Linked DNA regions of Callithrix jacchus. The protein of the gene in region 3 interacts with the protein of the main gene of each other region in a pairwise test. Links are inferred from orthologs where the notes say so. Each region holds a gene or a part of one and is shown on either strand. Other genes may lie near its edges. The genes, in order: FARS2, ADIPOR1, APPL1 and UBE2O.

Region 1 (8,005 bases), on a different chromosome or scaffold from region 3:
GTGTGGCCCAAGCATAAGGGATGGAAGTGACTTCTTACACTGAGACCCAGTGACGCTTCACCAGCCCTTTCCTTGAAGCACTTTGTATAGGTTGGTGCAAAAGGAACTGCAGTTTTGATCATTACTTTTAATGGTCAAATCCCCAATTACTCTTGCACCAACCTAATATCTCCTACTCCTTATTTTAATTATATACAAATGTATTTAAAGTATAAACTTCTGGAAAACGGGATCCATGTTTGATTTCTACATCATCCTCAAGTTATCATTGCGAGAACAGAAACTTGAACTACCAGGCTGCCGGCTATCTTTTGAATGCACAAATAAAATTTCACTGCCTCTCAAATATAGGATTCAAATTCATGATCTGAAACAAAAGGCTATCCATACCTGAATAAATAGTTTCCATTTCAACAGCTCAGCTGTTAAGCTATACTTATATGACTCAGCCAATGCATAATGGAAGAAATGATTTATTCCAGAAATAGGAAAAACATCACTAAAATAAAGTTAGTGCAGGGCTAACCACTTCTGCGGTCCCTCCCTTCCCACCTCCTACCATCCTAAAACACTTAGAGTTCTCTAAATAGATCAAGCACCCTTCTGCCTCCATGCTTGGAATATACAATACAATCTTTAACCACATTCCTCATCTGGCTCTTACTATTCATTCTAGAAACACCTATGATGGAAAGCCTTCCCTTAGGTGAAAGTCCTAGTTCAATATTCCTCTTCTGTATTCCTTTAGTATTTGCTAAATTATTGCTCTTATCACAGCAACTGTCAAAAAGAAATTATTGGCCAAGTGCCACGGCTCACACTTTATAGTTATAAGCTGAACTCTTTGGGAGGCCAAGGCAGGAAATGCACTGAGGGGTTTGAGACCATACTGGACATCATAGTGAAATCTTATCTCTACCAAAAAAAAAAAAAAAAGTTTTCTAATTTGCCAGACATGGTAGCATGAGCCTATAGACCTAGCTACTTGGGAGGCTGAGGCAGGAAAATCACTTCAGGAGTTTGAAGTTTAAATGAGCTATGATCATACCCCTGCACTCCAGCTTAGGAAGCAGAGCGAGAACCTGTCTCTATAAATTATTGTTTGGTTTATCTAATCACCTACAGGTTTCTTAGGGGTGGGGAGGCTCTCATCACTGTAACTATGTCATCTTATAGTTTTGTCCTCATATGTTATGGTACTTATTGGCCAGGCACCGTGGCTCACACCTATAATCCCCACACTTTAGGAGGCCAAAGCAGGTGGATCCCCTGAGGTCAGGAGTTCGAGTCCAGCCTGGCTAACATGGTGAAACTCCATCTCTACTAAAAATACAAAAAATTAGCCAGGCATGGTTGTGTATACCCGTGATCCCAGCCACTTGGGAGGCTGAGGAAGAAGAATCGCTTGAACCCGGGAGGTAGAGATTGCAGTGAGCTGAGATTGCGCCATTGCACTCCAGCCTGGGCAACAAGAGTGAAACTCCGTCTCAAAAAAAAAACAAAAAACAAAAAAAAATAATAAATTATGGTACTTACGAAGTCTTCAATAAATGCTGAAGGAAGGAAGGAATGAGGAAGGCTTGAGTTTGTTCATCTATACAAATGAATGAGTTGATATATAAGGTCTTCCCCCTTCATATTCTATTAAAATGAAGGATCAATGTATAATACTTAGATTCATGTCTGGTGTAGGATAGAATAATTTTTTTTCTTTTGGTTTTTTTTTTTTTGGAGAGGGTCTCACTCTGCTGCTCAGGCTATAGTGCAGTACCGTGATTATGGCTCAACACAGCCTCGACCTCCAGGACTCAAGCAATCCTCCCACCTCAGTCTCCTGAGTATCTGGGACTACACGCTGTCTCCTGAGTAGCTGGGACTACAGGCACCTGCCACCACTCCCAGCTAATTTTTGTACTTTTTGTGTAGAGATGAGGTTTGCTATGATGTATTTTTTTGTATAGATGGGGTTTTGCCATGTTGTCCAAGCTGGTCTCAAACTCCTGGGCTCAAGTAATCTACCTGCCTCGGCCTCCCAAAGTGCTAGGATTACAGGTGTACAGCACCATGCCCACCTGAATAATTTCTAAATAATATCATAAGTTACTATTTCTATACAAATTTTACTCCATACATCACTTTGATATTTAAGCTTCAGGACAGTAAATTGTTGTTATGCTGTTTATTATGATTTGAGAAATTTCTCTTCACACAGCACTAGGTGGTCATGGACAACCCTAATTTTAATAGAAGATAATACAAGATTTTACATAAAGAACTATAGTTACTTGATAACTTTGGATAAACGAAAAACGAATACTAAAGAAATTTTTATGTTTTGATTCCTAAATGGTACCTCCTATTGTAGATATTCCCTAAGAAAAATTTCAACCCAGAACAGAATGCATGTTAAGGAACATATGGGTATGGTCCATTCTTCAGCTTCTGGCCCATTCTACTTACAGTCTCAAATAGAGTTACTTTCTTCTTTTTTAAAAACAAAAAAAGGCATCTCCACAATAAAGATATGCAAAAGTGAGATGTAGCTTTTGAATTAATATTTTCTATTAGCCTCTCAAGGCAATGATGTCCATCAAACTGGTAAACCATTTTAAATAAAATAATGAGGTATTTTTGTGAAGACTTGGCTCAGAATTAACTGGGAAGCTATCGCTTTCCTAACTGCAACCATTGCTTGTACTAACAGAGGACAAGGCTACCCAAACTATCTAAACTATACATATTTACTTGGAAGTTTTATTTGATTACCACAAAGTTGAGTCATTTAGATACATTAATTATATACATTAATGATTAAATTCCTTAATAGGTTGAAACAATTGTAACTGGCTTACTGCAACCTCCACCTCCCAGGTCCCTGATTCTCCTCCATTAGCCTCCCAAGTAGCTAGGATTACAGGCACGAGTCACCAGGCCGAGCCAATTTTTGTATTTTTCAGTAGCGTGTTGTACTGGCCCGAGCATAGAAAGTTAACACCAAGACAAAAGTATGCCAAATTGCAGGGTCTTAATTGCCGGCGGTCACGGAGGACTCTCGTCTCTCCAACCCGTGGCCCTGAAAGGAGGGTGTCAAGAACTTTTACGCCTGTAAACCACCTTGGGGGTGAGGGTGAGGGGCTTTAGACATTCCAAGGGCCAGTGGATTCCGTAAATTACCTCTGGGGCGGAGATGAGAGTGAGGGGCTCCGGACATTCCCAGGGCCAGAGGGCTTTGGATATTCCGATTGTGGCTTAAGCGGTTTACAGAAGTCAAGATAAGTGTTAGTTTACACGTTGTCTGGATATGGGTGGAAATTACAGACCTTAGTTACTTATTACAAGTCGCAGGGGCCAAGATGGCGTGGGTTTGGACTGCTTGCCTGTCACATCAGGGTTACAGAGAGCAGTTTCAACACAAAGCCTAGGTATGGTTGAGGTATGCAGCTTTATGGGGCTTTTACCATGTCACAACGACGGGGTTTCACCATGTTGGCCAGTCTGGTCTTGAACTCTTAACCTCATGATCCGCCCGCCTCGGCCTCCCAAAGTGCTGGGATTACAGGCGGGAGCCACTGCGTCCAGCCCTTTTGTTTTTACGTATAAAGGTACTCCTCACTGTGCTTGAATGCAGAAAGGTGTCGTTCTTCCTAAGGTTATGTAAAGCAAGATTCCAAAAATAAGAAAATTGCTTTGCGAACACAGTACTAGAATTGGCTGAGGCTTCCCTGCCTCCAGTCCCATGCTCAAAAATTAGAACAAGCAACTTTATCCACCACTTTAATAAGGTAATTCAAAAAAGTTTAGGTCAAGCCATGGGAGAAAACTTGCTCTGCTTCTTGGAGAATACCTAAACCCCTAAAGGTCTCTAATTATTCTCCGAGGTCTACAGCCAGGCTGCATTTTACAAATTTATTAGTTTACAAAACCACGGGGACACTTCACTCAAAAGCAAATCCACATCAGGAAAGAGGAAAAAAATCCACGGCCAATGTAAACCCCCTACCACACCAACTGCCCACGTCGCACCCCAGGCTGCAACGAGGCCGGCACTCACCCACCGCTCTCCCGGGAAACCCAGACCCAAGTGTTTCAAAATCGGAAGCGTGGCAGGCTAGTTCGCTCTCAGGGCAAGAATCTTAAACCCCAACTGAAGAGACACCCCTGTACGCTGGGCACCGCCATTTTGACAGAAAGCGGGCCTGTCCCGCAGGCCCCTATGCAGGTCGCCCTGAGCAGCGCCGGAGTACCACAGAACCCCTGGCTCATCACCTCCACACCCAGACATCGCGCCTCCCAACATAGAGAAGGCCATGAAACCCCATCCAGCCGAGCAGGATCGGGCGAAGTCAAGTCACCCTTGAAATCCCGCAAGGCCTCTCAGGCAGCACTGAGGGCGGCCGCAGCCAGTGGGGGCGGGGAATCGGCGGTCAAGGGCGGGCCTTCGGCGCGGCGGCCTTCGGTAACCCTGGCAACGCAGCCTCCTGGAGGTACTAAGGGCCGCTGCGCCTTGAAACACAAATGTCCCCTCCAAGACCCCGGACGGTTCGCAAAGGCTCTCCGTGGTGCAACTGCAGTTCTCTCGGATGCTCGCGCCTCCGATCTTCGTCCCCCAGGGGCTTGGCTGGATGCCCCGACGGCCAGGCCTCTAGTTTCCCCGCCTTTCAGCCGCTTGGAGCGGCTGCTGGGTCCAGAGCCTCCAGCCGGGGGCTGGGCGGAGCGGAGGCACCTCCCTCCAGGCACCGCCCCCTTAGCTGCCCCGAGGCCTGCCTGTGCCCGCCTTGGAAGAGGCCCGGGATGCCGGGTGCCGTCTGCGGTCCTCAGGGGTGCCCGCCTAGCTGGCAAGGCCGAGCCGCCGCACTTTATTTCGTTCGTAGTTTCTGCACAGGCTGAAGTTCCGTGGGTTGGGCTGGACTTGGGACCTCTCCGAAGAGGACCCGTTTGTTTTTTTCTTTCCAAAATGGCAGCCTCCAGCCGCGCACAAGTGTTAGATCTGTACCGGGCTATGCTGAGAGAAAGCAAGCGTTTCAGCGCCTACAATTACAGGTGACGCGGCGGTCGCCGGGGACCGGGGGCCGGGGGCCGGTGGCCGGGGGCCGGGGGCGCGGGCTGCCGCGGAATGTCCTTGGAACCACCGTCCTGCGCCGGCGGCCGCGAGAAAGGGACCGGGTTCCGCCATAGAAAAGCGTGCTCCTGCCTGCAGGTGTGGCCTCTGAGACCTCGGGGAGGAGCGGAGGGCTTGCTCTTCTTTCTACCAGGGAAGACGTTCACGTCTTATAACGTTTTCCCCCTAAAGTCTACCTTGGTTGGTGCTCTCGGAGCATGATTAGTGTTATGTTTCTGCAGAAGAGAAAAAAAAGATGGAAATCAGCCATTGGTGAAGTTAAGGCCAATATGTTGCATACGTAAAACTTCCCTAGAGCGTGGAAATGGCCAGTGAGTAGCACACAGCTAAAAAGCTTAAGGCACACGCTAGCACCTCCCTAAAGTTTCCCAGGTGTCGTAAAGAGTTCTTTTGGTTGCCAGAATCAAATCCGTTCTATTTAGGGTACGATGGAAAGGCTTAGCGGTAAAGGAAAAAGGACCTCACAGGCTTTGGAGCTGAAACCTCAGTTTATCCTGGCTCACCAGACAGATCCTGCTTATTGACCTTGATAGCAGGACACTGAGGGTCTAAACTCTTACATCTTTAATATAACACATTCACTTTTTTACATGCCTCACCATTCCCCTATTTGCCTATGATTCTTTTTCTGTTGCTGCCCAGGCTGGAGTGCAGCGGCGTAATCTCAGCTCACTGCAACCTCCGCCCCACGGGGTTCAAGTGATTATCCTGCCTCAGTCTCCCGAATAGCTGGGATTACAGGCGCCCGCCACCACGCCTGGCTAATTTTTTGCATTTTTAGTAGAGACGAGATTTCGCCATGTTGGCCAAGCTAGTCTCAAACTCCCAACTCAAGCGACTCACCTGCCTCTGCCTCCCAAAGAGCTGGGATTACAGGCGTGAGCCACCGCGCCCGGCCTGTATGGTTTTTTCTAATTCAGAACCTCTACTTTCACTTTGTTGCTGCTTCTGACCCATCATTTCCTTATGGATTCTCTCTGCATTTTTTTCAGATGTGTTGTTTGGTTTGGTTTGGTTTTGACTAACTGCTACTCCTCTCTGATTTTAAGCCATATTCCCCTGAGAAAAAATCTGACTCGATCAATCATGTCTTTACCCCAAGCCTCACTTAGGTGACTGGCCAGCCTATGGACTGGATGTCATAGGAGCAGAGCCTACCCTTGGAACACACCTGGTTAGGTAGGCTCCCCTCTACCAGGTGTGTGAGTTGGCAGACCGACCTGAACAACCTCTGTCAGAAGAAAGGAACAGTAAGCCTCTTAAGCAGTGACTCTCAAATGTTTAGAAACCTGCTTAGAAAACATGTTCATTCTGCAAATTTGAGAACAGCATCTAGGTCATACCCCTGAAGTCGTATCCACCCAGTTAAGTGGTTAAATTTCACCGGAGAACATGATTTTACTTAATGACTTTGACTTTGGAGAGTAATGAGTGTAATAATAGGCATACTGGTGGAATTTTTAGCAAGATTAAACAAACACCTAGCACCAAGTACTTAACCAAGTCTGTTGAGGGAACACATGAAATATGCACGTTATATACATAGAAACCATTTGATTTCACCATAGTCTGGAGGAAGATACTTTGTTATTTAGACTGAGGATACCTAAGGACTTGGAACCAGCAGGGAGTTCACACACTAAAGAAAATGGCAGGGAGAGGGTCTATGTGAGAGCATGTAGAAAGTCAAGGTGGAACCCTCAAAGACTATAACTTGGACTTGTCACTCAATCTCTGTTTTTCAGAGCTCTTGTTTGTGAAATAGACTGTTGGACTAGACAGTCTCTAAGGACCCTTCTATTTCTGAAATTCTCTTTGGAAGTGATTTATGAGCAAATGAATCCCAATTATTTTCAAATGAGTAGTTGCCAACTGAACAGGAAAATCATTCAAGAAACTCAACAGGAAAATTATTCAGACTGCAGGAAAATCATTCAAGGCTGTACCTGAAAGGCAGAAAATTGAAAATGGCTTTCAGTATGGACAACTGTAAGATGATATACATTCAGAAAATAATTGGTCAAATTATACTTAAACATATAATTTTCAGCTAAATTTACTACCCAAATATAAATGTATTATTCAAAGGAGTCTGGTAATCATTTTATACTGTTGCCTGAGATCATGGACCTAAAAACTTAGGTTTCTGCTACTGTCATCTCCCAAGATAAACTTACTTGTTATAAAATATGTCCTTCTTTTACATTAAGGCTGTGTCTTGTGGATTTCAAGAACAGTCCCTTCCCTCCACTCTAATCTCAGCAGCTATTTGTCACTGATGGCAAATCAATAGCAATACAGCATCCACTGATCAATTCTGTGTGCGACTGCTATCTTATCATCTTCATGTCTATTAACATGTTTATTTTTGACAGTAATCTAGTGAGGTAGGTACTATTTTTATGACCCCGTAGGGCAGCTGAGGCACAGGGAGGTTAAGTCACCTATCAAAAGTAATATAGTTGGGAGGCCGAGGCGGGTGGATCACAAGGTCAAGAGATTGAGACCTTCCTGGTCAACACGGTGAAACCCTGTCTCTACTAAAAATACAAAAAAATTAGCTGGGCATGTTGGCACGTGCCTGTAATCCCAGCTACTCGGGAGGCTGAGGCAGGAGAATTGCCTGATCCCAGGAGGCGGAGGTTGCGGTGAGCCGAGAACACACCATTGCACTCCAGCCTGGGTAACAAGAGCGAAATTCCGTCTGAAAAAAAAAAAAAGTAATAACAGGCAGTGCTGGATAAGCAATCAAAAGTAGACTAGTAAAAATGTTTTAATGACCTGCAAATTGTGGTGCCTAAAGTAATTGGAATAGTGAAATAAATACTTTGGAACGCTCTTGCAAGACATAAAATATAGGCCATGTTTTGATAGCATGAGCCCTGT
Region 2 (8,308 bases), on a different chromosome or scaffold from region 3:
TGGGGCTAAGGCCCTTGTGTGATATTGAAATGGTTGTCATGTCTGGGGTCCTTGTTTCCAAATGCCCAAAGACCTAGGGAGGAAGGGTTTGCCAGCAGGGAACTCTCCCAGGTGTTCCAAAGAACCTTTGAGAAGTTGTACCATGTGCTGAAATGTGAGCTGCCAGTAGACTCGGTGATCATCTCAGCAGCTGTCTCAGCAGAGCCAGAGCTCCTCTTCTCCCTGGAGGCCCTCGAGGTGGGGGAAGATGAACACACATTAGAGGGGACTTTTCTGAGCCCAGCTGCCCCTCACAGTGTTCCCTTAATATGCCACTCTTCCCCTTCTTCCTTCCCGCCCATCCTTCACCATATTTATCCTTCAGGGAACCTGGCACACAAATCAAAGTGTTGCCTTTCTGTTTGGAAGAGAAGCCATCTCCTTTAAAAAGTAACCTGACATCACCAGCCCCGGCCAGACTTGTTGATGCCTTGATGCCTGGACAGAGTTGGCCTCCCCGAGGCCCATCTGTCCTGAGCGCCAATCTACTCTGCTATGGGAGTCCAACCCTTTCCTAGGGTAGGACTAGGGCAGCCTCTCCAGATTCTTCTTTGTTAGTCTCACTGGAACAAAACAATGTGGTGGGCTCAGAAGGTCGGTCAGCATTGCTTTTCTGCTTCTCAGCAACTGTATATAGCTGTTTCTGAGGCTCCTGAGAGAAAGGTTTATGGGACCCTCAGGATTCACTCCTCCCTAGAGCAGAGGCATCAGTAAATTCTGTTGATGTTTTTCCACCCAACATTTCTTGATCAGCTAACGTGTATGGCACTGTGCTCTGTTACATAGGCTCAGCCACCTCACCTCCAGCAAGGAAAATCTTGCCTAGGAATGTTGGGCTCAGACAGTGAAGCAGGTTTGTAAAGAGAATTTCCCTCATGGAAGATCACCATTCCTCATCTGGCATGGGTTTTTGCCTCATGTGCTCAACATACGAACGTTTATTAAGGACTTGTCATGTGCCAAGCACTGTGCTAGGCCCTGAGGATACAAGTGTGACCAAGACTGGTCTGAGACCTCCAAAGAACTCACAGTCTAAGATAGACAAGTGACAAATAATTATAACACAGTGTGACTAATACCAAGCAGAGGTACATACAAAGCACAGCTGGGAAGAGGTTGAGAAAGATTCAGAAAAGAAGGAAGGGGAGAAAGAGCTAACATCTGGGCAACATAGACCCTATCTCTACAAAAACAAAATAAAAATTAAAAAATTAACTGGGCTTGGTGACACGAATCTATAGCCCAGCTACTTGGGAGGCTGAGGTGGGAGAATCCCTCAAAGCCCAGGAGTTCGAGGCTGCAGTGAGCTATGATCTTATCATAGTACTGCACTCCAGCCTAGATGACAGAGTGAGAGCCTGTCCCTAAAAATACAAACAAGTATTTTTGAGTTAATAGCTGTATATCAGGTACCGTGCTAAGTATTCAACCTATATCACATAATTTAATCCTCATGATACTCATATGAGTTGAAGATTAATAATTGGCCAAAGGTCGTACAGCTGGTCAGGGGCTGGCAGAGCCTAAAGCCAAACCTAGAAGTGGGCATTGTAAACTGCTGGCATCTTGCAGCAGACAATGAGAAGGGCAGTCCAACAGAAGGATCAGCCTGAATGAATGAAAGAGAAGTTCACTTTAGAGAACTAGTTCACCAAGACCCAACATGCCAGAGGGAAAATGGAGAACAATGAGGCCTGAGAGGTTAGAACCAGCTCATAAAGGGCCTTGAAACGCTGTTGAAGAAACCTGGACCCAGTCCTGTGGACAGTGGGAAGTTTCTGAGGATTGTATACAGTGGGCAACATGGTAATGGCTAACATTTTTACAAAGCATTTACCATTGGCTGGGTCTCATAATAAGAGCCTGCATGAATTATCTCACTCAGTCCTAACAAAGACCCAGTGAAATGCTATTATTTTATTCCCATTTTTCAGATGAGGTAATTATCATTTGGAGGGGTTCAGTTATGTGTCAAGATCACAGGCTGGTCTGGGACAGAAGCTTGGCTCTATATGACTCCAGAGCCCATGCTTTTAACCAAGACCAAGAGAACTAACCCCATGTCCCTGAGGCACCTATGTCAGATTACGAGTCACTTTCTCTGCCACTAGAATGGCACTAGTTACACAGTGAACTATGATCTCATGATTCCACCACTGCACTCCAGCCTAGGTGACAGTGAGAACCTGTGCCTAAAAAAAAAAAAATTTTTTTGAGTTAACAGCCACATACCAGGTACTGTGCCAAGTACTCTATCTACATCACATAATTTAATCCCCATGATAATCCTGTGAGTTGAAGGTTTGGTCACAGGAGGTAGATCGACATTGCTGTTCAGCAACTGTGGATCGCTGTATCAGGGGCTCCAGAGCATGGGCTGTAAAGTCACACAGAGCCAAGCTTCTGTCGCTGGCCAGTCTGTCCCCTTGAGCACATTATGGAACCCCTCCAAATGACAGTTACCTCATCTGAAAAATGGGAATAAAATAAATACTATTTCATTCTTGGGAGAAATGCGAAAATGGCCAGACCCTGAAATCCCCTTCTGTGTTGTGTGGTTCAAACAAGGGCTGCATTGCCTTAGGTCGTCTCCCCAATCTGCACTCGGTGCGTGTGGGAGCAGGAGCTGGGGCGCGGGTTCGCCAGCAAGAGTAGTTAGAAACAATTCTGCTCCCTGACAAGAAAATAACAGGAGCCAGAACTAAGGTCTAGCCCAGGGCCTGGCACACGGTAGGCGCTCAATAGTTTGTGGAAGGCAGGGAGGGACCATGCGGTTGAAGAAGGGATTAAGACGTGTTTAGAGATGAAACGACTGGCCTTGGGGACAGAGGAGATGAGACGAGGTGTATGGTAGAAGCTTCAGCATTCCCTCCCGGAGTTCCGTCTCATTCTCTGAAATTCCTTCTCCATCACGCACTCCAGGCTGCGAAGACGAGGCGGAGTGTGGAACGCGACCGGCGAGGGCAAGCCCGGGGCTGGTGGAGGTTACCTGGCCGCGGTGGGGAGGCGCGGGGCGGCAGGAAAGGCGGGGCAGCGGGGCGGGAGGTGTGGCCGGCGGGCGCGGGCCTGTGATTGGGACTCTGTGAGAAGGCCTGGGATTGGAGGGGCCCGGCAGAGCCCGCGAGGAGGTGACGCGGCTGCGGAGGTGACGCGTGCGGTCGCGCGCCCCTTCCGGCGCGGGGAGGGCGCTGAAGATAGGGGCCGCTCGGCCGCAGGCCGCCTCCAGCGCCGCGGGATGTAGCGCGGGGGACCGCGGCCCCCAGCAGAGCCCGCCCGCCCGCCCGGCCGTAAGTCTCCCCGGGGCTGCGCTGTGGGCGGGGACTCGGCGGGAGCGCGGGACCCCGGGGAACCGGCCCAGGCCTGCGGAGGGGACAGCCGTTGGGGGAACCCGCTCCGACGTGCCGAGGGTCCCGGGCCTCCGACCCGGAGCCGCCCGGCCTCCGGGCGTCCAGGCGGTGGAGGTTGTAAACATTTCCGGCCCCTCCCACTGCGCGCCGCCTCCGAGGCGTCCTAGGTGCGGTGGGCGCAAGTCCCCTGCTGTCCCTGGCTGTTCCCCGACTCCCGGCAGTTCTGTGAGTGCTGCGCCCTTAGCCCCGCGGGGTGGAGATGCCTGGGTTCCCCGGGTCGGGACCAGTCAGCCAGAGATAAGCCTGGCCCCGAGGCCCGCGCTTGGGGAGGGAGGGCTGCGGGCCTAGGTCGCGAACCGCCTCTCAGCGGGGAACACCCGTCCAGGATGGCTGGGAAGCCCTGAGGTTCCTCGACCAACCATCTTTGGCAGGTCAGGCCATGACAGTGCCCCCACCTTGAAGAGGTGGGAAGGGAGGTTGGTGATCGCTCTGCAGGATTAAGGTAATCCTGAAGACTGAAATGCGGGGCAGAATCTAAGCTAGTTTGGAGAAAAATGAAATTTCATTACCTTGGAAATCTAGAATTGATGTATGCTTTCTTCTGTTTAAGAATTTCGGCCTTCAAACCTTCGATTTTAAGAAAATAGATAAGTGCTTTCCCTCAGTTTCTGGTGCTTCGTGGGAGAATGGGAAACTGACAAGGCCAATTTCAGTTTACACCGTTTCAGGTGTCAGAGGAGCACTAGGAGGCCATGGTACTTTGCTAGATTTCCCTCAAGTAATTTAGAAGAGGGGCTAGAAAATACAGCAGAGAATACATAGGCTGCCGTCTTCAAAACAAATGAAGATTATAATGGCTGGTTGTTTTCTGAAATGAAGTAATAGTGGGGTCTGTTCACTGCTTTTCTCTTTTGCTAGTAGTTGGGTAGGCTGCAATGGTGCAACTTCGGTTCCTGAGGTTGTATATTATCTTTATCCTGCCAGGAATTTAGAGTGGTGCTAAACAGACTTCAACGTCAGTGTTCCCAGTTTGCAGCCACTACATTTATTTATTCCAGAAGTAACTTTTATGTACCCATATTGTGATTTACACTTGGGAAGTCAGTCATAAAAACTGATGTTACCTGTGACGGCCCATCTTAGGGTAGACCTCCGCAAAACTATACCGAATTGCAGAGTAGAATCTGAAAGCCTTCTATTCTCCGTGGTCAAGATTTTGCTAGCAGGTGGGAGAGAATCTCAGAAAAGTAACAGGAAGCAACATTAATCCACTGATCTCCATTGCTGATAGAAAAAGTACACCACCTTAAGTAGGCTTTTAGGCTATTTTCAGTTTCCTCAGTCTGGCCTCATTTTACCTTTCCAGGACTCCATGGAAAGATGAATTGTTTACTGCCCTAGGGACTGTGTTCCTTCACGGCTTTGTTCACGCTGTGTACCCTCCTCTAATGCCCTGTTTCCATCTCCATCTATCAAGATCCTTTCATAAAATCTTCTGCAAAACTGTTTTGATCACTTCAACTAAAGTTGCACTTTTCTTTTGAATTCCTCCTGCACATAATGGCACTAACCCTTGTAGTAATGTCTTAGGAAAGTTACTTCCCCCATTTAGAGGCCAACTATTTCAAGCCTCTGACCCCACTTTGCCGTGTCTCTGTGGCCACAATACCATGCATACTGTAAGTAATCAATCGGTATTCTCAGATTAATGAAGTATAGAAATTGCCCTTCTTTCTAGGCCAGAACGTTTGTTCTCTCTTTCCATAGGAAATTTCCTTTGACTTCTAATACAAAGCCAAACTGAAACCCTTTAACATTCCTGCAACATTATCCTGTCCTATCTACTTATTATCACACAGGTAAAATAAGCAGTCGTCTTTATATCTAGAAACTTTGTTAATTATGGTGAAGTTTTTTCTTGGACCACTTCCTGGACTTTGTTCCTCTCACCATGCTCAAAGTTGATTCCCTTTTTCCTGCTCAGAAATGTTGGGGGCATAGGCTGGGCACCTTGGCTTACACCTGTAATTCCAGCACTTTGGGAGGTCAAGGCAGGCAGATCACAAGGTCAGAAGTCTGAGGCCAGTCTGGCTAACATAGTAAAACCCTGTCTCTACTAAAAATACAGAAAATTATCCAGGTTGTGTGCACCTGTGATCCTAGTTACTCAGGAAGCTGAGGCAGGAGAATCATGTGAACCCAGGAGGCGGAGGTTGAAGTGAGCCAAGATCATACTATTGCACTCCAGCCTGGGTGACAGTGGGAGACTCAATCTCAAAAAAAAAAAAGAAAGAAAGAAATGTTGGCGACATGAATGATGTTACAAATTTTAAACTTTGTAACTATCTTGGATTGAAAAGATCCTTGAAAGTACCCTCTAGCCAGACCACTTCCATATATGGGTCTAGTTTGCTTCTGTTTCCTTAAGGCTTCTGGAGTACATGGTATAAAGTGAGTACTGTATTGTGCAGTTGTATTGACCATGTATCTGTAATGTACTTGAAAGATGGACATTAAAAATGGGCTCTCAGCCAGGCGCAGTGGCTCACGCCTGTAATCCAACACTTTGGGAGACCGAGGCAGGTGGATCACCTGAGGTCAGGGGTTCGAGACCAGCCTGGCCATGATGATGAAACACTGTCTCTACTAAAAATACAAAAATTAGCTGGACATCTGGCAGGTGCCTGTAATCCCAGCTACTCAGGAGGCTGAGGCATGAGAATCACTTGAACCTGGGAGGCGGAGGTTACAGTGAGCCGACACCATGCCACTGCACTCCAGCCTGGGGGAACAGAGCAAGACTCTTGTCTTAAAAAAAAAAAAAAAAACAACGCAGGGCTGGCATTGGCTGGGTATGGTGGCTCACACCTGTAATCCCAGCACTTTGGGTGACTGATGCAGGAGGATTGCTTGAGTCGGGGGGTACTAGGCTGCAGTGATCTGTAATCGCACCACTGCGCTCCAGCCTGGCTCACAGAGCAAGACCCTGACTCCAAATACAAAAAAAAAAGAGAAACAGAAAAAATGGACTGGCATTAAAATCTTTCATATGCCTGTATACTGTTTACTTTTTTTGTCATGACATTAGGAAAGTTTGCCTGTCTGTTAGGGCTCAAAAACACCCCTTCAGTCAGGCACAGTGGCTCATGCCTGTAATCCCAGCACATTGGGAGGCAAAGGCAAGGCGGATCCAGACTAGCCTGGGCAACATAGTGAGAAAAGGTCTGTACAAAAAATAAAATTAGCTGGGCATGGTGGCACATGCCTGTAGTACCAGTTACTAAGACTTGGGAAGTTGAGGTAGGAGGACTGCTTGAGTCCGGCAGGTTGAGGCTGCAGTGAGCTGAGATGACACCACTGCACTGCAGCTTGGGTGACAGAGCAAGACCCTTTCTTTAAAAAACAAACAACCAAAAAACTTCTGTTGGGGAAGAGCTACAAAGGAAGTCAGATTGTTTTTCAACTGGGAGGCTTGACATCAAGTAGGAGAGCTGAGGCCCTATTGCTGCAGTTTGGTGATTTCAAACATGTGCCTTTGCTTTGACTCATATTTCTCCAACACAGCTGTGAAACTATCCTCCTAACAGATGGTAGATAGGGGGAAAGCTGGCTGTGTTCTTTATCTGTACTGCTAGACTGATCTTGCTTTAGCACAAGAATCAAGCTAGGCATGGATAGAGCCTAGCCATAGAATCTCTAAAGGCCTGGGAACCCCAGATTAAAAACTCTTGAAGCTTTGTCTTCGCCTCCAGGAAAGGTGTACCGTAGCCTAGAAAACTTGGGAATTGGTTCACAGTATAAATGTCTCCAACACCTGTAAGTGAAATAACTCTCCAGCTAACTGACTGGTGATTAAAAATCAATCTTTTCCCCAAGTTTGGCACAGGATTATCTTATTTATAGGAGCACAAACACCTCCCTGCTCCACAGCTTTACTCTAATATCCTAGGTTTATCCAGTTGGAAAGCTTAGTGGTAAAGGTTTATTAGCTTGAGTTGAAGAAATCCCATCAAAAATGCACTCAGTGGAGTCTGGCTGAAATAGAATTTGCTATATTGGGTGTGGCAAGCTTGAGGGGAAAGGCATTTCCTCTAAAATACATAAGGATATAGAAAGCTGGCAGAGAGTTGGCCCTCCTAGGATCATTCTAACACCTTAAGGATTTGTTCTGATTTTACATCATAGACTAAAACACACTTGTAATTCTCCATTGTATGTGAGTGGTCCACCCCAGAGAAGTGGTATTTTCAGATCCTAGGATTATTTGCTCTTCTTTCTTGCCAGACGTCCGATCCCTATCTCTCCCTTTCCTGTCTCTGTGTTGCTACAGTTTAGAAGACCAAACTGGACAATGGACTTTGCTCACTATGATGACATGATCTCCATTGACCTTCATTGTATGTACTTTAATGCATGATGATATATTTTGTGTGATGAGTTGCAGCTTACTATTAGTTGTGGTATAGGTAGTAGTGATAAACGAGCTAGAGGGAATCAGAAGAATTAACAGAAAATGATTTGGACTGAAAAGGGAAAAGACTGTGATGATAACCAGAAGACTTGAGGGCATGAAAGCTTTTCAGATCAAATGATGAAATTAGTAAGAATGCCATGCTGGATTCTGCATGTGATCTTAGGACCCTAATTGCCCAACTTAAAATTTCTCTATATTATTCTCATCGCCTCTACTAAAATAGTTATATAGCACTCAAAATAACTGAATTTAGCGTGTGACCATTCTAGTTGAGGGGTTCTCTCTCTCCACTGCCCTCCTGGAGCAATCAAATTGTATCACTTATTTTGTGCATATCACAAACTGCCTATGTTATCTGGCTCTTTGAAAACAATGCTATAACTTGTTCAACTTGAACTTTGGACAGTATCTTAGAATGCCTTAGGGTGCTAGTCCTAAATACAGTTGC
Region 3 (8,189 bases):
GTTATTTCCAGGATCTCAGGCCTGAGGCCTACTTTTCACAGGCACTGGATGCAAGGTACTATGACTCCTTTATCAGGAGGAGAGGCTCTTGCTCCAAGCCTGCCATATAGAGTATGCCCTTTCAGGCAGGGATGCCACCACCTGGGTCTGTAGTTCTTGTCCTGGTCTAGCTGTTTTCCCATGTACTGCTTTTGTTTTGTGACTGCTCTAGGCATTCCTCCTACTAACTACTATATGGTTATATAGAAGGATTCTATTCTATAAATCAGCACTAAATGTGTCAGTACAGCTCTGACTATAATACCTATATTATATGGAAAGATTATATAGAACTAAGTATGCTAGATATAAGTATAAGCATGATTATGTAAGCTGGATATATGTAAGCTGTAAGTTATACTTCAGGTACTAATTCTATAAACTAAAATATGATCATATTTAAAGGATTATATAAAGGAAATAGCTGAGTAATATCACTGTAAACTAAGATATTCTTTAGGCACTAATTGTGCTTGGGAGATCTAAACAGTTCTCCTTCCTCTGTGCCCCTGGGGGTGGTACCCACAGTTATCAAAAAGGACTGTGAATTCTGCAGCTTTGGAGATGTTTTGACCTAGGAAATACAATCACATTTTCGAATGAGCAGGGTATACAGTGACCTAACGCTAGAGAATCCAAATAGAAGGCTAAAATTGGATTCTAGTCGAAATAGGTTAAAACTAGATTTGACTAAACCTACCTCTCCATCCAATTGAATATGAACCTGTTTTTTTTTTTTGTTATTTTATAACCAGAATTTCTTGCCATTATGCGATAATGTAATGGCCTCTTGAGAATCCTTTACAGAAACACAGTTTATATGTATATAACATACTAGAAAGGAAACCATTTAACTTGATAATACCACACCCAAATAATTCAGATACCTAACAGAATTTTTCAGTGGAATTACTTGCTTTGGCCAAGTTAATTGGGTAACAAGTATTTTTCTTTTCTCTTTTTTGAGACAGAGTCTTGCTCTGTCGCCCAGGCTGGAGTGCAGTGTTGTAATCTCAGCTCACTGCAACCTCTGCCTCCCAGGTTGAAGCAATTCTCCTGCCCCAGCCGCCCGAGTAGCTGAGACTACAGGTGCGTCACCATGCCCAGCTAATTTTTGTATTAGTAGAGCCGGGGTTTTGCCATGTTAACCAGGCTGGTCTCAAACTCCTGACCTCAGGTGATCCACCCGTCAAGGCCTCACAAAATGCTGGGATTACAGGCATGAGCCACAGTGCCCCGACTTTTTTTTTCTTATACTTTGTTTACACCCTTCATTTACTCCTGATTCTTATCAGTTGTCACTACCTTTGTTCTCAATTTAAAATCTAACTCAGTTCAGTCAGGAAGATCACTTACCTTGAAAGTCTTCCTTCTTTAGAGTTGGGGTGCATGGTGTTCTTGCTGGCAGAGTAGAAATGAGATATCAAGGAAAAAGAACCTATAATACAACTGGGAACCCTTAATTCATTGCAAGAAGTGACTCCAAACCAACTTCCTCAAAAACTAAAGAACTCTTCCAGAAGGCGACTAGTGATAATCTAAGGGGAGAGCTTTTAAAGACTGTAAGACTAAAAATAATACTGTAAAACTACAATGCAAACCTACCCGACAAAACTTTAAAAATATAATTTTATCTTTCCTTAGAGAGACCATAGGAAAATCTACTATTTTCGTTTAAAACATATAACTTCTATTTGTTACTATACTTGGATTTGTGCTACTCCTATTCTGGATTTGTTCCCATGTATCCATGGAACCAGGCCCCTAATAATCTTTACTCAGCATCTCTGCTATTTCTTGAATGAAAATGGAATGGATTGGTGCAATTAATGGCTAGATGTTTAGAAAACACTAGCTATTTTGCTATTTTCTGTGTATACTGATGAAAGCCTACAACTTTACAGACATAAACGAGCCAGGCTGAGAGATTGGGAAAGATGAAGAGAGAAGAGGAAAGGATGGGCTTGTAGCCCTCATCCGGTCAAATTCTCAACTTAGAGCTTCACTTTATCGTAAAATTAGAGGCTAAACCTATTTAAAGCCTCTTCCAAAACTTTTTGATGAAACAGAAATGCCAATCAGTTACCAACATAATTAACAGTGTATCCTGATTTTTAAAAGATGTTTCCCTTTGTGATTTGTTGGAGTTGCAGCGTCAGTCCTGAAGGACCGACCTCGAGAGGCCAGGTAGGAACTGATAAACTGGCAACTAAGTCACATGTTTTCAACGGAATATACCGACATTCAAGTGTCCAAAAAAATAATTTCGAGCCTACTGTTCACAAGTTTGCCAGAAAGCCCTGTTATTGAGACAACTTCGGATCTCAGATACATGAGTTGGTCAGCACCATTCTGCTGGAGGGGATTAAGACTGGATGCTTCGAGCGGAGTTGGGAAGGTTACCATCTGAGCAAACTACAAAGCGCCAGCAGCAGGGCATTTTTCAAGGTCTCTGCCGAAAAATGTTGCGGGAAAAGTCAACCCGCTCCAAATTCCCCGGTGTGGCCCTCACCCGAGGCTCCGGTTCCCTACGTCGGCAAGCTAGGGAAGAGACGGTCCCCTACGATTTAGACATAAACGCCCGCGTGCCGGGAAGGCTATCCCAAGGCTGACACTACCACCTCCGCCGCTTCCGACACCCGCGCTCATGGGAGAGACTCGCGCCGCACGGGAACCTCCGAACCAACGCCGCAGCGCCGATGGGCGTCCCCGCGAGCCAATGGAGGCGCCGAGAGGCGGGGCAGGGAGGCCGAGGGGGCGGGATTTCCCGCACGGCCGCTCGGAGCCTGGAGAAGGCAGTGCTGGCGGGGAAAGCGGCAGCGCCTGCCTGAGAGGGCGGGCCGGGGTCAGCTACAGCGGGCCGGCAGGCGCGGGGAGCTGTGGGCGGCCGCTGCGTCTCCTGCCGCCACCCTCCCTCCGCCACGATGCCGGGGATAGACAAGCTGCCCATCGAGGAGACGCTGGAGGACAGCCCGCAGGTGAGGCGCGGGCGCTGGTGGGCGACGAGGGAGAGCCGGGCTGGCGGACCCCAGGCCTGGAGCCTGCGCCGTTCCCGCAGGTGCCCGCCCCGGCCCAGGTGGGCGCCGCCGCCGCCCGGGGCCCCCGCCCGTCGCAGGCCGCACCCCGAGTTGTCGAGGCTGGGTCCGCCGCCCGAGGCCCGCGTGGGCCTGCTCGGCTGGGCCGAGGGCCGCGGGCGGAGACCAAGCCGCTGGTGCTCGTGGGCCGGGCGGTCACGTACGCGCGCGGGTCTGCTTTTTATTTCACGAAAGGCGCCGTTTTTATCTCCGTGATGTGAGGTGCTAAATCTCGATCCTGGAATTTTCTCCCCGAGAAATGCAGAAGGGAGAGAAACCCTGGTAGCCTTATTTAATGATTTCCAAGGCTCAGCAAGCTAGGGAAGGAAATGGATAGTTTTTCTTCGGGAGAGGCTGAAAGGCTGTGACGGGTCCCGGAGCCAAAGACCACTCGCCCCGCCGAGTGTGCCCGTGGCGCGGCCGTGACTGTGGTCGCTGTCACTCGAGCTGTACACGGCGAGTGATGGAAGGTGCCTTCGCGCCGCTCCCAGCAGACTTGTCCTTCATAAAATCATCAAAATAAAAGCCCTGTGTTCTCTGTGTCAGAATGATGCTGGTGTGGTTGCTCTAGCTTGAGACAGTTTTGGAAAATGTAACTATTTGATATTTTTTCAGTACTGAAGAATGAAATCAGCTATACTTTTTAAAATGTTGGCAGGGGATGTAAATTCCATAGGGAAAACTTCATTTCTAAGCCTGCCTTTTTACACGATAATTTAAATGGTTTAACACGGTGGTGCTCGTTGGACACCATTTAGAATGAAACATTTCTGAATTATTGCTCATTTAGAAATGCAGTTGCTCCTACTTCATGTGTCTTTACATTTGAACATGGCCTCCAAAGAAGAAAAGCAGAAGAGGTCCAGATTTCCCTTTCCTGGATGGCACTTCTGTCTTGGATTTTGTGCTAGTGTTAATTGCCAAGTTGAAATGGAGCTCTGATTGTAGAATTGATTTGTTCTTTTTCATTCTGAAAGTTATCTTCACAGGCCAGTTGCCTGCTGCTAATGTACTCTTATCAGCCTATACTGACAAAAAGAGAAACTCACATTTGGTTTATCTTGATTGCCAGTATACCCAGTTCAATTTTTTCTTGATGAATTCTCCATATACAGTTATAAACAATATTTGTTTCAGCTGAATGGCAGAAAGCTTATGGAATTGGTCAGGTGAACTTTGTCATTTTACTTTTTATTATGTGAGATTCAACAGGTTGCTTTACCTTCTCTTACCTGGCTTTTTTTTTTTTTAATAGCCCATAAAGACTATAAATGGCTCAGAATGGATTGCGCATTGCCCTAGATATGACTTGTGAGGCAGAGACAAACTCTTGACTCATCTGATTTCTTGAGCTTCTTACACAGATTAGTTTATAATTTAAGAATTGTGTTGAGCCGGGCGCGGTGGCTCAAGCCTGTAATCCCAGCACTTTGGGAGGCGGAGGTGGGTGTATCACAAGGTCAAGAGATCGAAACCATCCTGGTCAACATGATGAAACCCCGTCTCTACTAAAAATACAAAAAATTAGCTGGCGCATGCCTGTAATCCCAGCTACTCAGGAGGCTGAGGCAGGCGAATTGCCTGAACCCAGGAGGCGGAGGTTGCGGTGAGCCGAGAGATCGCGCCATTGCACTCCAGCCTGGATGACAAGAGCGAAACTCCGTCTCAAAAAAAAAAAAAAAAAAAAAAAAGATTTATTTATTTATTTTTTTGCAAGCATGTATCATACTAGTGTCAGTTTTACACTATGTTTGTTTTTGTTGAGATGGGGTCTTGCTATGTTGCCTAGGCTGGAGAGCAATGGCTGTTCACAGACATTAGCATAGTGCACTACACCCTGGAACCCCTGGGCTTAATCAGTCCTCCTGCCTCAGCCTTTCTAGCAGCTCGAACTACCGGCATGTGACACAGTGACAGCTAATTTTTAATGAAGTAGCCACATTGATATTCCTTCAGTGTTTAAAGACAGTAAGTTTGAACTAGGTAAAATTTACTTGGGAAACTTAATTGGGACAACTGGGATTTAGAAAGTGTAGATACTTGGAGGTGATTCTTAGATTGAACCCGTGGCAGAATGAAAAGCCTTGGATTTAGGATAGAGGTACTTTTTAGTCATCACTGCCACTTACTACCTTCTGCTTTAGGACAAATCACTCAATTTCTCTGAACCTTAGCTGTTGTACCTTAATGGCGTGTTTTTATTTTTGACCCTGATTAGGAAAAATAATAGTTGCTTGTTTCAGAAAAATTGGAAGGTCCAGAAAAGAATAGACACACCTGTCGGGTACTCAGCAAAACCCTATTAACAATTTGCTTTCTTTATTCTACTGTTTTTTCCTCTACATGTTCTAATGGAATTGAGATTATATTGTACATAATGATCTTTTTCCTGCTTTTAGCTTAGCATTATAGCTTAAGTATCTTCATAATGTTTTTAAATTCCAAATAAAAATTGTGAAGACTACACATTGCCTTAACTGATTTCCCAACCCATTGCTGGACTTTTAGAGTTTTCCCAAAGTTTGGATTTTATAAATAGGGCTGAGATTAATGTTTTGGGCCATACGTTTTGTTCTCAGTTTGAACTATTTTATCTACAACAGAGTCCAAGAAGTAGAGCAGCAAAGAATATGAAAGACTTTAAAAAATTGGTAAATTTTTGGGTTTTGTTGAGACAGAGTCTCACTCTGTCGCCTAGGTTAGACTGTAGTGGCGCAGTCATGGATCAGCAACCTCAGGCTCCTGGGCACACCCCACTAAGCCCAGCTAATTTTATTTTATTTTGAAGATGGAGTTTTTCCCTTGTTGCCCAGGCTGGAGTGCAGTGGCACGATCTTGGCTTGCTGCAACCTCCGCCTCCAGGGTTCAAGTGATTCTCCTGTCTCAGCCTCCCAAGTAGCCCAACTGAAGAATTTTTTATAGAGACAGGGTCTCACTCTGTTGGCCAGGCTCATCTTGAACTCTTGGCCTCCCACCTCAGAGTCTCAAAGTGCTGGGATTACAGATGTGAGCCACTGTACCAGGCCCAAAAGTTTTTTATTTGATCAGTTTTTAATTTTTTTAGATTATTTAGATCTAATCAAAAGAGGCCTGCCAGTTGTTACATAAAAAAGTTAGAGCCTTGGCCAGCCCCAGTGGGTCATGCGTGTGGACACTTGAGGGTGGGAGTTCAAGACCAGCCTGGGCAAAATAGCAAGACCTCATCTCTACAAAAAATAAAATTAGCTGGGCGTGGTGGTAGGAGCCTGTGGTTCCAGCTATTGAGGAGGCTAAGGCAGGAGGATCGATTGAGTCCAGGAGTCCATGGTTGCAGTGAGATGTAATGCACACCATTACACTCCAGCCTGGGCAATAGAATGAGGCTTTGCCTCAAGAAAAGAAAAAAGAAAAAAAAAGAAGAGCCTAGGAGTGATGGAAGACTATCCTAAATTACAGTTATCTTTCTTTTAGTTTTGATTTATTTAGTAACTACTTACTAAATTAGGGAGAATTTGCAAGTCCAAAATCCAGCTTAAAAAGCATCTTTTAAGGATACTGCCTGGAACCTGGGGGGGAAAAAGCATCTTTAGAATTACCTTGCCCAAACCACACAATTCTGCAAAAGAGGATCCGTTAAGCCAGAAAATCTTAAACTTGTACTAGATGCCTTGTCCATATTTATATGTTGTTTTAAAAATTAAAATAAAAATAAACCTTGTTAATTAGTAAAAACAGATGATGTAAAAAAAATAATTGATTTTATGTATAGGTGTGTATCTTAATGATTCATCTATGATAGAACAGTGAAGACAAACCCCATTCCCAAAGGGAATCTTCCTTTGTGTAATATGAAATACTCATAGATTATGAGATGTGCCTTTCTCCCTAACATTTTAATGTTTCTGATTGGGATTCTTCTTACAGTTGATGGTATATTAACAATTGCTGACAGCCAGGTAGCAGTAGTAATGTACTTCACATTGCCTGCCAATGTACATACTTGGTTGTTTCTCCTAGTAGCATGCTGGCCAAGTGTAGGCTCTCAGTGTTAAACTAACAAATCAATTTTACCACCATTTGAGGAAGGAATATCAGTCTTGATTGTTGTCTGAAAACCTTCCTTTGACACCTGGTGAGACGTCAAATGACATCATCAAAACTTGCTGAATGAATGTTTAGGGACAAAAATGGAACACATCTAAGAAATACTTATTTCCTCATGTCACAGAGAATAATATTGTATAGGAAAACATGGATATTGATGACTCTTGAGTAGAATAAGATTTGAACTTCTTTTTCTTTTTTTTGAGACGGAGTTTCGCTGGGATTACAGGCTTGACCCACAGCGCCTGGCTGATTCTATATTTCTAAACTGCTAACTTTAAATAGTAATTATCCAGTGTTGAACTTGATATTATTAACTTAAAATAGGGAATCTGTTTCAGCCTTCTTTGAGCTTTTAAATTTAGTTATGCTACAAGTTTTTACATAACTATGTAACTCCTTGAATTGGAATTACCCATTTTTAGGAAAAAAACAAAAACAAATAAAATGTCAGATTTTTCTTAAGAATGGCAGTAGCCAAACAAGATTTCCTGATACTTTCTTTTTTATGTCTTAAAATAGCACTATGGGGAATTGTAGTGGAGTATTTGAAAAAGAGTCTGTTAAATCCAAACCTCTGAGGCCCGGGGAAGTAGAGGACAGAAAATATGGACCTACTGGCATAATGATCTTGTGTCTTTTCCTCTCCTTTATACCATATCAACTTAGCTTTCTCTTCCCAAAATAGGAAGCCAAGGAATAAGTTGATCTTAAAAAAAAAAAAAAAAAGGCCTGGCACAGTGGCTCACACCTGTAATCCCAGTACTTTGGGAGGCTGAGGCGGGTGGATCACCTGAGGTCGGGAGTTCAAGACTAGCCTGACCAACATGGAGAAACCCCTTCTCTATTAAAAAAACAAAATTAGCCGGGTGTGGTAGCACATGCATGTAATCTCATCTACTTGGGAGGCTGAGGCAGGAGAATTGCTTCAATCTGCAAGGCAGAGGTTGAGGTGAGCCAAGATTGTGCCACTGCACTCCAGCCTGGGCAGCA
Region 4 (7,521 bases), on a different chromosome or scaffold from region 3:
CCAATGGGAGAGATTGTAGCCACCATGTTACCATCCCCCAGCCCCTTGTCACTCCTGCTTTGCTCCCAGCACTGTCAGGGCTTTGGAGAAATGTAACTTCCCATCATAGAAAAGATCAGAAGAGCCGTAGAGCCCCTGGAGGCAGTGTCCTGGTGGGGTGGAGCCACTCTTGTCTGGAGAGCCCCATAGGAAGGATGGCATTTGCTGCACTGGCTCCCTCTCCTGGGAGCATTGGGCACTGCCTGCCCTGGCGGCCTCTGGCCTTGCCATGATGCCAGCTTTCACCAGCTGTTTTGTTTCTGCTTCAGCTTCAGAATTGACACCTCAGTTTCCCCTGCACTCCCAAGGGTGCAGTTAGGCTGAGCAGAGTGTCCCATCAATGACTGCACTGATCTATGTCTGTGTCTGTGCTGTTCTTGCCTCCTTTCCTGACTGCTCTCTCAGGGACCCCTAAGTGGTGGATGCAGCCCTCCCACCACACGTGGTGCAGCCCCCTTGCACTGGATTCTGCAGTCCTGCAGCTTGTGGTTTCTCTGAGAGCAGTTGTGACTTTTTGAAGTCTAAAATGGGACCAGGGGATTAAAATAGGATGGGGCAGTGCAAAAAAATACGATGTCTCAGAGTGGAGATTTGGGCACAGAGGGTTATAGCACACAAAAGTGCTTACAGTTAGAAAAGTGGCACCATCACACACCAGCATGCCCCTTGATCCTCCTGGGGTCTTGGAGCAGATGTAAGGAGAGCTTGGCCTTTCAGGGCTCTTCAGCCTCCACCTCTCAGGGCCAGTTATCACAGCTGCTGGCCTTGCTGAGTGTCTGCTCTGAACTGTGCATCATGTGCCACCTGTGCGCCCGCTGCCTTGGTGATTCCGCCTCAGCCACGCTTGAGATGGCTGCTGTCATCCCTCCTTCCACTTGTCGGCAGGAGTGGTTTGCCTGAGGTTCTTGTGTCTGACTCTAGAACCCTGTTTTTTAAGGACTGGGCTTGTTGTCATTTGAAACTTGAGTTCATAGCTGGACACGGTGGCTCAACGCCTGTAATCCCAGCACTTTGGGAGGCTGAGGAGGGCAGATCACGGGGTCAAGAGTTTGAGACCAGCCTGGCCAACCTAGTGAAACCCCCCGTCTCTACTAAAAATACAAAAATTAGCCAGATCGTGGTGGCATGTGCCTGCAGCCACAGCTACTCAGGAGGCTGAGGCAGGAAAATCACTTGAACCCAGGAGGTGGAGGTTGCAGTGAGGCAAGATTGCACCATTGCACTCCAGCCTGGGCAGCAGAGCGAGACTCGTGTTAAAAAAAAAAAAACTTGGGTTCATGAGTTCCTGTGGACTCTCTGCACTGCTGGTTGGTGAAGGGGTCCTTTGCTTTTTTTTCCCCTTTTTTTTTTTGTTGAGTCATGTTCTTCTGGCAGAGTTTGTTTTAGTCTTCATTGCTAGCATTTAAGTGACCTTGAGCCAGTATCTTTCTTTTTCAGCAACTCAGTTCTCCTTTCTTGGTAGTGACCTCTCAGTGCCCCAGGTCGAGAGAGGCTGCCACCACAGAGTGTCTGGTTGGCTATTTGAGGAAACAGCTCTCTAGACACGTGGCTTGGGGTCTTGGAACTGGACACACGCGGAGACCTGTCCATAATTATGACCGTAGGCTGGGCGTAGTGGCTCACGGCTGTAATCCAAGCACTTTGGAGGCCTGAGGTTGGGAGTTTAAGACCAGCCTGACCAACATGGTGAAACCCCATCTTAAAAAAAAAAAAATGTAAAGGAACTGCCCCAGGTTTGAGGAACCAGCAAAAAAGAAGGCAGGCTGGCCTGGTGGAAGCATCTCCTGCCTAGGCTGTTGGGATGTGGAGCAGCAGGAGGCAGCGGTCGCTGCTAGCTGTGCATAAAGGACAGTCAGGTGCTCATGCAGTTGGCCAGGCTCCAAGAGCCAGCCAACTCAGCAGCCCGTAGGGCTCCACAGCGCAGCAGATAAGGTGCAGGCCACAGCTGGTCAGGAGGATAACCCAGATTAGAACGTGGTGTCCGGTGATAGCCGGGCTTCAGGGTGACCCAGCAAAGCCCGGTGTTCTGCTCCTCTCCCAGCCCACGCTCCGTCAGCCGGGGCAGGTACTTGCAGAGGGCAGAAAAAGGATTTAACGCAAAGCAAATACTTTGTTCTCTGTAGAATGGGCTGTTAAATCCTTAATTAAAGTGTGGCCTTATGTGATCTGTCATTGAGCTGCATTCAGCCTGAGGAAGGATACCTTCGGTCAGCTGAGTGTTTACTGTTGGTGGGCGAGACAGTGACCATAGGGGTACCAGGAGGCCTGCGGGTGACTCGCTCTGCCTGTGAGTCTAGGTGCTGGTTGGAGGTATGTGCAGTCTGTGAAAATGCTTCTAGCTGAACACTTAGGATTTGTGCATTTAGCAGTGTGGATGTGACACTTCAGAAGAACTTTGAAGAAAAATGTATTCTCTGGTGGCTTCAGAGCCCATTCTCTCACACTGGTATTTACTTTTACAGCTGAAACTAGAAGACCGTTCTGTGGTACCCCGAGATGTGGTCCGGCACATGCGATCCACTGTGAGTCCTGCGTCCCCACCCCAGCCCTGGGCCTGGGAGCAGCCACCTTGGGGACTTGAGCCTGCCCACTTCGCACTCTGTATGTGGGAGAGCTGGCCAGCTCTGCAGGGGACATACTGGGGTGGTCTGGGCTGGGTCTCCCATGGGACCAAGGCTGCTGCACCTTGGGGCTTGCATGCCTCCTCCCTCCCCCAGGACAGTCAGTGTGGCACAGTGATCGACGTCAACATAGACTGCGCCGTCAAGCTCATTGGCACCAACTGCATCATCTATCCCGTCAACAGCAAGGACCTGCAGCACATCTGGGTAAGCCAGCCTTGTCTTCTCATCGTCCTTTCTGGGCCCTCTGGTTCTCTAGGGCACGACCTCAGGGCTGTAGCCTTCTCTGCGCTCTTGCCAAGCACAGCCTTCCTGGGTCAGAAGGCAGAGCACAGCAACCGGCTGGCTCCTGTAGTCTTGTTTTCGCTGCCTTCCAGTAAGCCATTTAGACACGAGGTCAGGAGGTGCCCTTCCCCAAACCCAGCATAGACTGCTGATGTGGTTGTCTTTAACTGGTTTCCTTTCACCTCTAATATTTCTTTTTAAAAAATTATTTTCAATAATTTTATTTTTTAAATATTTTTTAAATAATTTCAAACCTACCAGAAAGTTGTAAATTCCTGTGTCCCTCTCATCCAGATTCCTCAGCTGTTAAGATTTCACTTCATTTGCTCCATCACCTTCCCTCCCTCCTTCTCCCCCAGATCCCTCTCCTGTCTTTTTTATTCCCAAAATATTTTGGGAATAAAAAAGAGCAAGCTTTGAGAGCAAGCTACAGATATGATGCCCTGTCACCTACCCCTGAATACACCTCTCTGTATTTTCCAAAAACAAGGACAGCCTCCTGTGTAACCACCATATAACCCCCAGATTGGGAAGTGGACATTGATAATTACAGTCTTGTCCATAGACCGAATTCAGTTGTCCCAACTCTACTCTTGTTTTGTTTTTTTCGGATCCAGGACCCAATTCAGGAACACATCTTGCGTTTAATTGTCACCTCTCGGCCGGACGCGGTGGCTCACGCCTGTAATCCCAGCACTTTGGGAGGCCGAGGCGGGTGGATCACGAGGTCAAGAGATCGAGACCATCCTGGTCAACATGGTGAAACCCCGTCTCTACTAAAAATACAAAAAAATTAGCTGGGCATGGTGGCGTGTGCCTGTAATCCCAGCTACTCAGGAGGCTGAGGCAGGAGAATTGCCTGAACCCAGGAGGCAGAGATTGCAGTGAGCCGAGATCGCGCCATTGCACTCCAGCCTGGGTAACAAGAGTGAAACTCGGTCTCAAAAAAAAAAAAAAAAAATTGTCACCTCTTTAATTTCTCTCCAATCTGGAATCATTTCCCAGCCTATCTTTGTCTTCCATGTCCCAAACAGTGATACATTCAGTAACTGGACCCTCAGCCTAGGTCTGTCTGGTATTGCCTCATGCCCATGAATTCATGGCAGACCCGCCACAGAAATGCCACTGAGCTTTGCGCTGGTTCATGGTACCCCATAGCCAAAATGTTGGGGTTGTTCACTTTGATCCCTGGTCATGTTGGTGTCCTCCAGGTCTCTCCACTATAAACTCACCATTTACCCCCTTAAGTGATTGTATTCTGTGGGAACACAGTCCTGGATTATGTCAATGAACTACCTATCATTTGTCAAACTGAAATCCACCACCTTTGACCTCCATTCACAGTTCCTCCTGCACCAGCCATTGCTCTGATGTTGCTAAATGGTGATTTTAAGGCTCCCTGGCTGCCCCCCATTTCTATTAGCTGGCATTCTGCTTTGTAGAAGAGCTCCATCTTCTGCTGACATTTATTTATTCGTTTTTTAAAATCAGTATGGACTTAGAGATTTCTGTTTTATCCATTGGTTGTAATTAATTGCTACTATTACTACCTGTTCTGTTGCTTAGGTGATCCCAGATATAGCCAATGGGAGCCCCTTCAGGCTGGCTTTCATGTCCTTTTCACATGGCCCTTTCTGTTGGTTTTTTAAGTATTTTCTTTCTTTCTGGCATGAGAAGCTTCATTGTGTTCAAAGAATGGAATTTTTAAAACCCAAATCTGGATGCTAGGTGTGCTAATTGCTACTTGGCCCTTTTGGGACACACTAGGAAATACTCATGTATTAGATGTATACACACATTTAAATATGTCACTACCTGTTCTATGTGTATGTTAAAGTATATGAGTTCAGGCCAGGTACAGTGGCTCATTCCTATAATCTCAACACTGAGAGGCTGAGACAGGTGGATCACTTGAGCTCAGGAGTTCACGACCAGCCTGGGTAACATAGCAAAACCTCATCTCAACAAAAAAAAATAGGAAAAAATTGGCTGGGCATGGTGATGCATCCCTGTAGTCCCAGTTATTCAGGAGACTGAGGTGGGAGAATCACTTGAGCCCAAAGATAGAGGTTGCAGTAAGCCAAGAAGGTCACACCATTGCACTCCAGCCTGGGCAACAGCAAAACCCTGCCTCAACAATAGAAATGAAAATATATAAGTTCATCCTGATACATCCAATTCCACTTAAACACCTCAGATGACTCTTCCTTCTCCCCTTCTGTTAGTAAACACCTGGACACCTTCTCCAACAGTGAGGGACTTGGCTGTCAATATCCTCGATATGCTAATGGATTTACTCAGAACACTGTCCATATAGCCACCCCCCAGCGGTATGGCTGTCTCCTCTGCCTGCTACCTCCACAGCCTACTTGCCAGTTGTCCTGTGTCCATGGATGTCCCATGTCCATGGATGCCATCAGCCCTCTGCCCCTGCATAAACCACCCCGTTACCTCTAGGTAGCCCCACCACCACAACCAGCACCACTTCCTTCTCGCTGAGAAGAGCAGCTGGGATGCAGCCTAGAACTTGTACAGATGGCCTGCTGCAGCAGCTATTTAGGACTGGTTGCCAACCAGTCCAGACAGTGGGCTGTCTAGATCCTTGCCTCTGCCTGTCTCAGTGGGGCATAGAGGAATCTATTCCCTGGACATGAGTGTTGTCTGCTGTGTCTCACTGCCCCTGCTCCCTTGGTCTGCAGCCCTTCATGTATGGGGACTACATTGCCTATGACTGCTGGCTGGGGAAGGTCTACGACTTGAAGAACCAGATCATCCTGAAGCTATCCAATGGCGCCAGGTAGAGTCTCACCACCAAGGAGCCATTGGCTTGGGAAATGGCTTCTTGGAAAGAGGGAAGGAAGAGGGTGTTTCCTCCTGGGGCCAGTGATGACAGGTTTGATCAAGAGCAGTGACAGATGTTGATAGCATCCCAGGCCTGCAAAGCAGGGCCTAACCCTGTGGCGTTCTCCTCATCTACCATGGTCTAATTCTGTTGGTCAGTTTCTGATCTGTCCTGCCGTGGGGAGAAGCGTGTTCATATCTGCTAGGGGCTGGTGCTTTACTTGAGGCACTGTGATGGTGCTGAGCACTCCAGTGGCACTTGGGATCTTGTTCATTGTGCATTGTGGGAGAGTTTTTTATACTACGTCGGGCTGAGCTGATGGTGGAAGATGAATTTTGCTGTTTCGGGTACTTGGTGTATTGGCATCTTAGGATCGCAGCTATTTGGTACTCACTGTGTCCCCTGGTGGAGACCAAGCCTCTGTTCTCTGTTTTAGGTGCTCCATGAACACGGAAGATGGCGCCAAGCTCTACGACGTCTGCCCGCACGTCAGCGATTCGGTAGTGTGCTCTGTTCAGGCCACGCCCTTCTCTGATTGCTCAGTCCTCTGGGAAGAGGACTTCTTAGCAAAGAGCTTGTAGCTGGCCCTGGCTAAACAGAGTGGTTTCCTGGAAGAGGATTGGGTGTGCACCAGAGGCTCTAAAAGTTTGGGTATAGGCAGAAAGTATTAGAACTTTTTTTTTTTTTTTTCTGAGACAGAGTCTTACTCTGTCGCCCAGGCTAGAGTGCAGTGGCACGATCTTGGCTCACTGCAACATCTGCCTCCTGGGTTCAAGCGATTCTTTGGCCTCATTCTCCCAGTAGCTGGGATTACAGACATGTGCCATCATGCCTAGCTAATTTTTGTATTTTTAGTGGAGATGAGGTTTCACCATGTTGGCCAGGACGGTCTCGAACTTCTGACCTCAGGTAATCCACTCACCTCGGCCTTCCAAAGTGCTGCAATTACAGGTGTGAGCCACTGTGCCTGGCAGTATTAGAACTTTTATTTGCATTTCTGTTAGCCTTTTCCTCTCATCCTTTGAAGTCTCACTGTTGCTCTCTCAATACAGGATGATGTATTAGTTATAATAGTACATGGACACAAATAGCAAACAAGTAGATATACAGGGGGTGTGTGAGCAAACAGGTTTCAGGTCCACTGCTCTCTGGAGCCTTATTCCTCAGAGTGTGAGCCCTTGACCAAGGAGCACGGAATGAGTCAGCCTACATTTGAACAAGGGTGCCAGGTGACCTCTACGCACCCAGAGTTTGGGAAGTGCTGTTCTTGAGCCACACGACTTGTTTTAAGGCATGTAATGCCTGTGAGTGAGCTTCTGCAGGTGGGCAGCCAGCAGGCACAGGTGTGGAGAGCGCGGTCACCCAAGGAGGCACTGCTCACAGGGACTTTCCTCTGGCCCCAAATCCCACAGGGTCTCTTCTTTGATGATTCCTACGGCTTCTACCCAGGCCAGGTGCTCATTGGCCCCGCCAAGATCTTCTCCAGCGTCCAATGGCTGTCAGGTGTCAAGCCCGTGCTCAGTACCAAGAGCAAGTTCCGAGTGGTGGTGGAAGAGGTGGGTCTGGGCCTAGGGGCAGGAGACAGAGTCCTTGACCTCCACGCCCTGGAGCTGAGCTGCTGCCCCTTTCCTGCCTGCTCTGAGGATTGAGCCCTGCTCTTCAGCTTCTGGACCCTGTTGATCTCAAAGGGCTTTAAGGAAAAGGGGAACCCAAGCTCTGGTCATAGTGACCAAA

The links.
Region 1: the proteins of APPL1 (region 3) and FARS2 interact in binary tests that used the Homo sapiens proteins (3 or more experiments, as listed by UniProt). The two-hybrid records come from large-scale screens. The link is inferred for Callithrix jacchus from reciprocal best matches to the Homo sapiens genes APPL1 and FARS2.
Region 2: the proteins of APPL1 (region 3) and ADIPOR1 interact in binary tests that used the Homo sapiens proteins (3 or more experiments, as listed by UniProt). The link is inferred for Callithrix jacchus from reciprocal best matches to the Homo sapiens genes APPL1 and ADIPOR1.
Region 4: the proteins of APPL1 (region 3) and UBE2O interact in binary tests that used the Homo sapiens proteins (3 or more experiments, as listed by UniProt). The two-hybrid records come from large-scale screens. The link is inferred for Callithrix jacchus from reciprocal best matches to the Homo sapiens genes APPL1 and UBE2O.

Annotation. Positions count from the first base shown.
Region 1 is NC_133505.1:25,185,931-25,193,935, forward strand, and holds the start of FARS2 (phenylalanine--tRNA ligase, mitochondrial), read right to left. Parts: upstream 4,193-8,005; 5' UTR 4,052-4,192; intron 3,645-4,051; 5' UTR 3,459-3,644; intron 1-3,458. Other genes in the region: LYRM4 (LYR motif-containing protein 4), read left to right, coding at 4,955-5,040. UniProt on the Homo sapiens protein: Is responsible for the charging of tRNA(Phe) with phenylalanine in mitochondrial translation.
Region 2 is NC_133520.1:30,002,879-30,011,186, reverse strand, and holds the start of ADIPOR1 (adiponectin receptor protein 1), read left to right. Parts: upstream 1-3,193; 5' UTR 3,194-3,888; intron 3,889-7,716; exon of another isoform or gene 7,717-7,783; intron 7,784-8,308. UniProt on the Homo sapiens protein: Receptor for ADIPOQ, an essential hormone secreted by adipocytes that regulates glucose and lipid metabolism. Required for normal glucose and fat homeostasis and for maintaining a normal body weight.
Region 3 is NC_133516.1:74,834,964-74,843,152, reverse strand, and holds the start of APPL1 (DCC-interacting protein 13-alpha), read left to right. Parts: upstream 1-2,820; 5' UTR 2,821-2,963; coding exon 2,964-3,017; intron 3,018-8,189. UniProt on the Homo sapiens protein: Multifunctional adapter protein that binds to various membrane receptors, nuclear factors and signaling proteins to regulate many processes, such as cell proliferation, immune response, endosomal trafficking and cell metabolism.
Region 4 is NC_133506.1:132,294,893-132,302,413, reverse strand, and holds part of UBE2O ((E3-independent) E2 ubiquitin-conjugating enzyme), read left to right. Parts: intron 1-2,501; coding exon 2,502-2,561; intron 2,562-2,756; coding exon 2,757-2,867; intron 2,868-5,644; coding exon 5,645-5,742; intron 5,743-6,223; coding exon 6,224-6,287; intron 6,288-7,199; coding exon 7,200-7,343; intron 7,344-7,521. UniProt on the Homo sapiens protein: E2/E3 hybrid ubiquitin-protein ligase that displays both E2 and E3 ligase activities and mediates monoubiquitination of target proteins. Negatively regulates TRAF6-mediated NF-kappa-B activation independently of its E2 activity.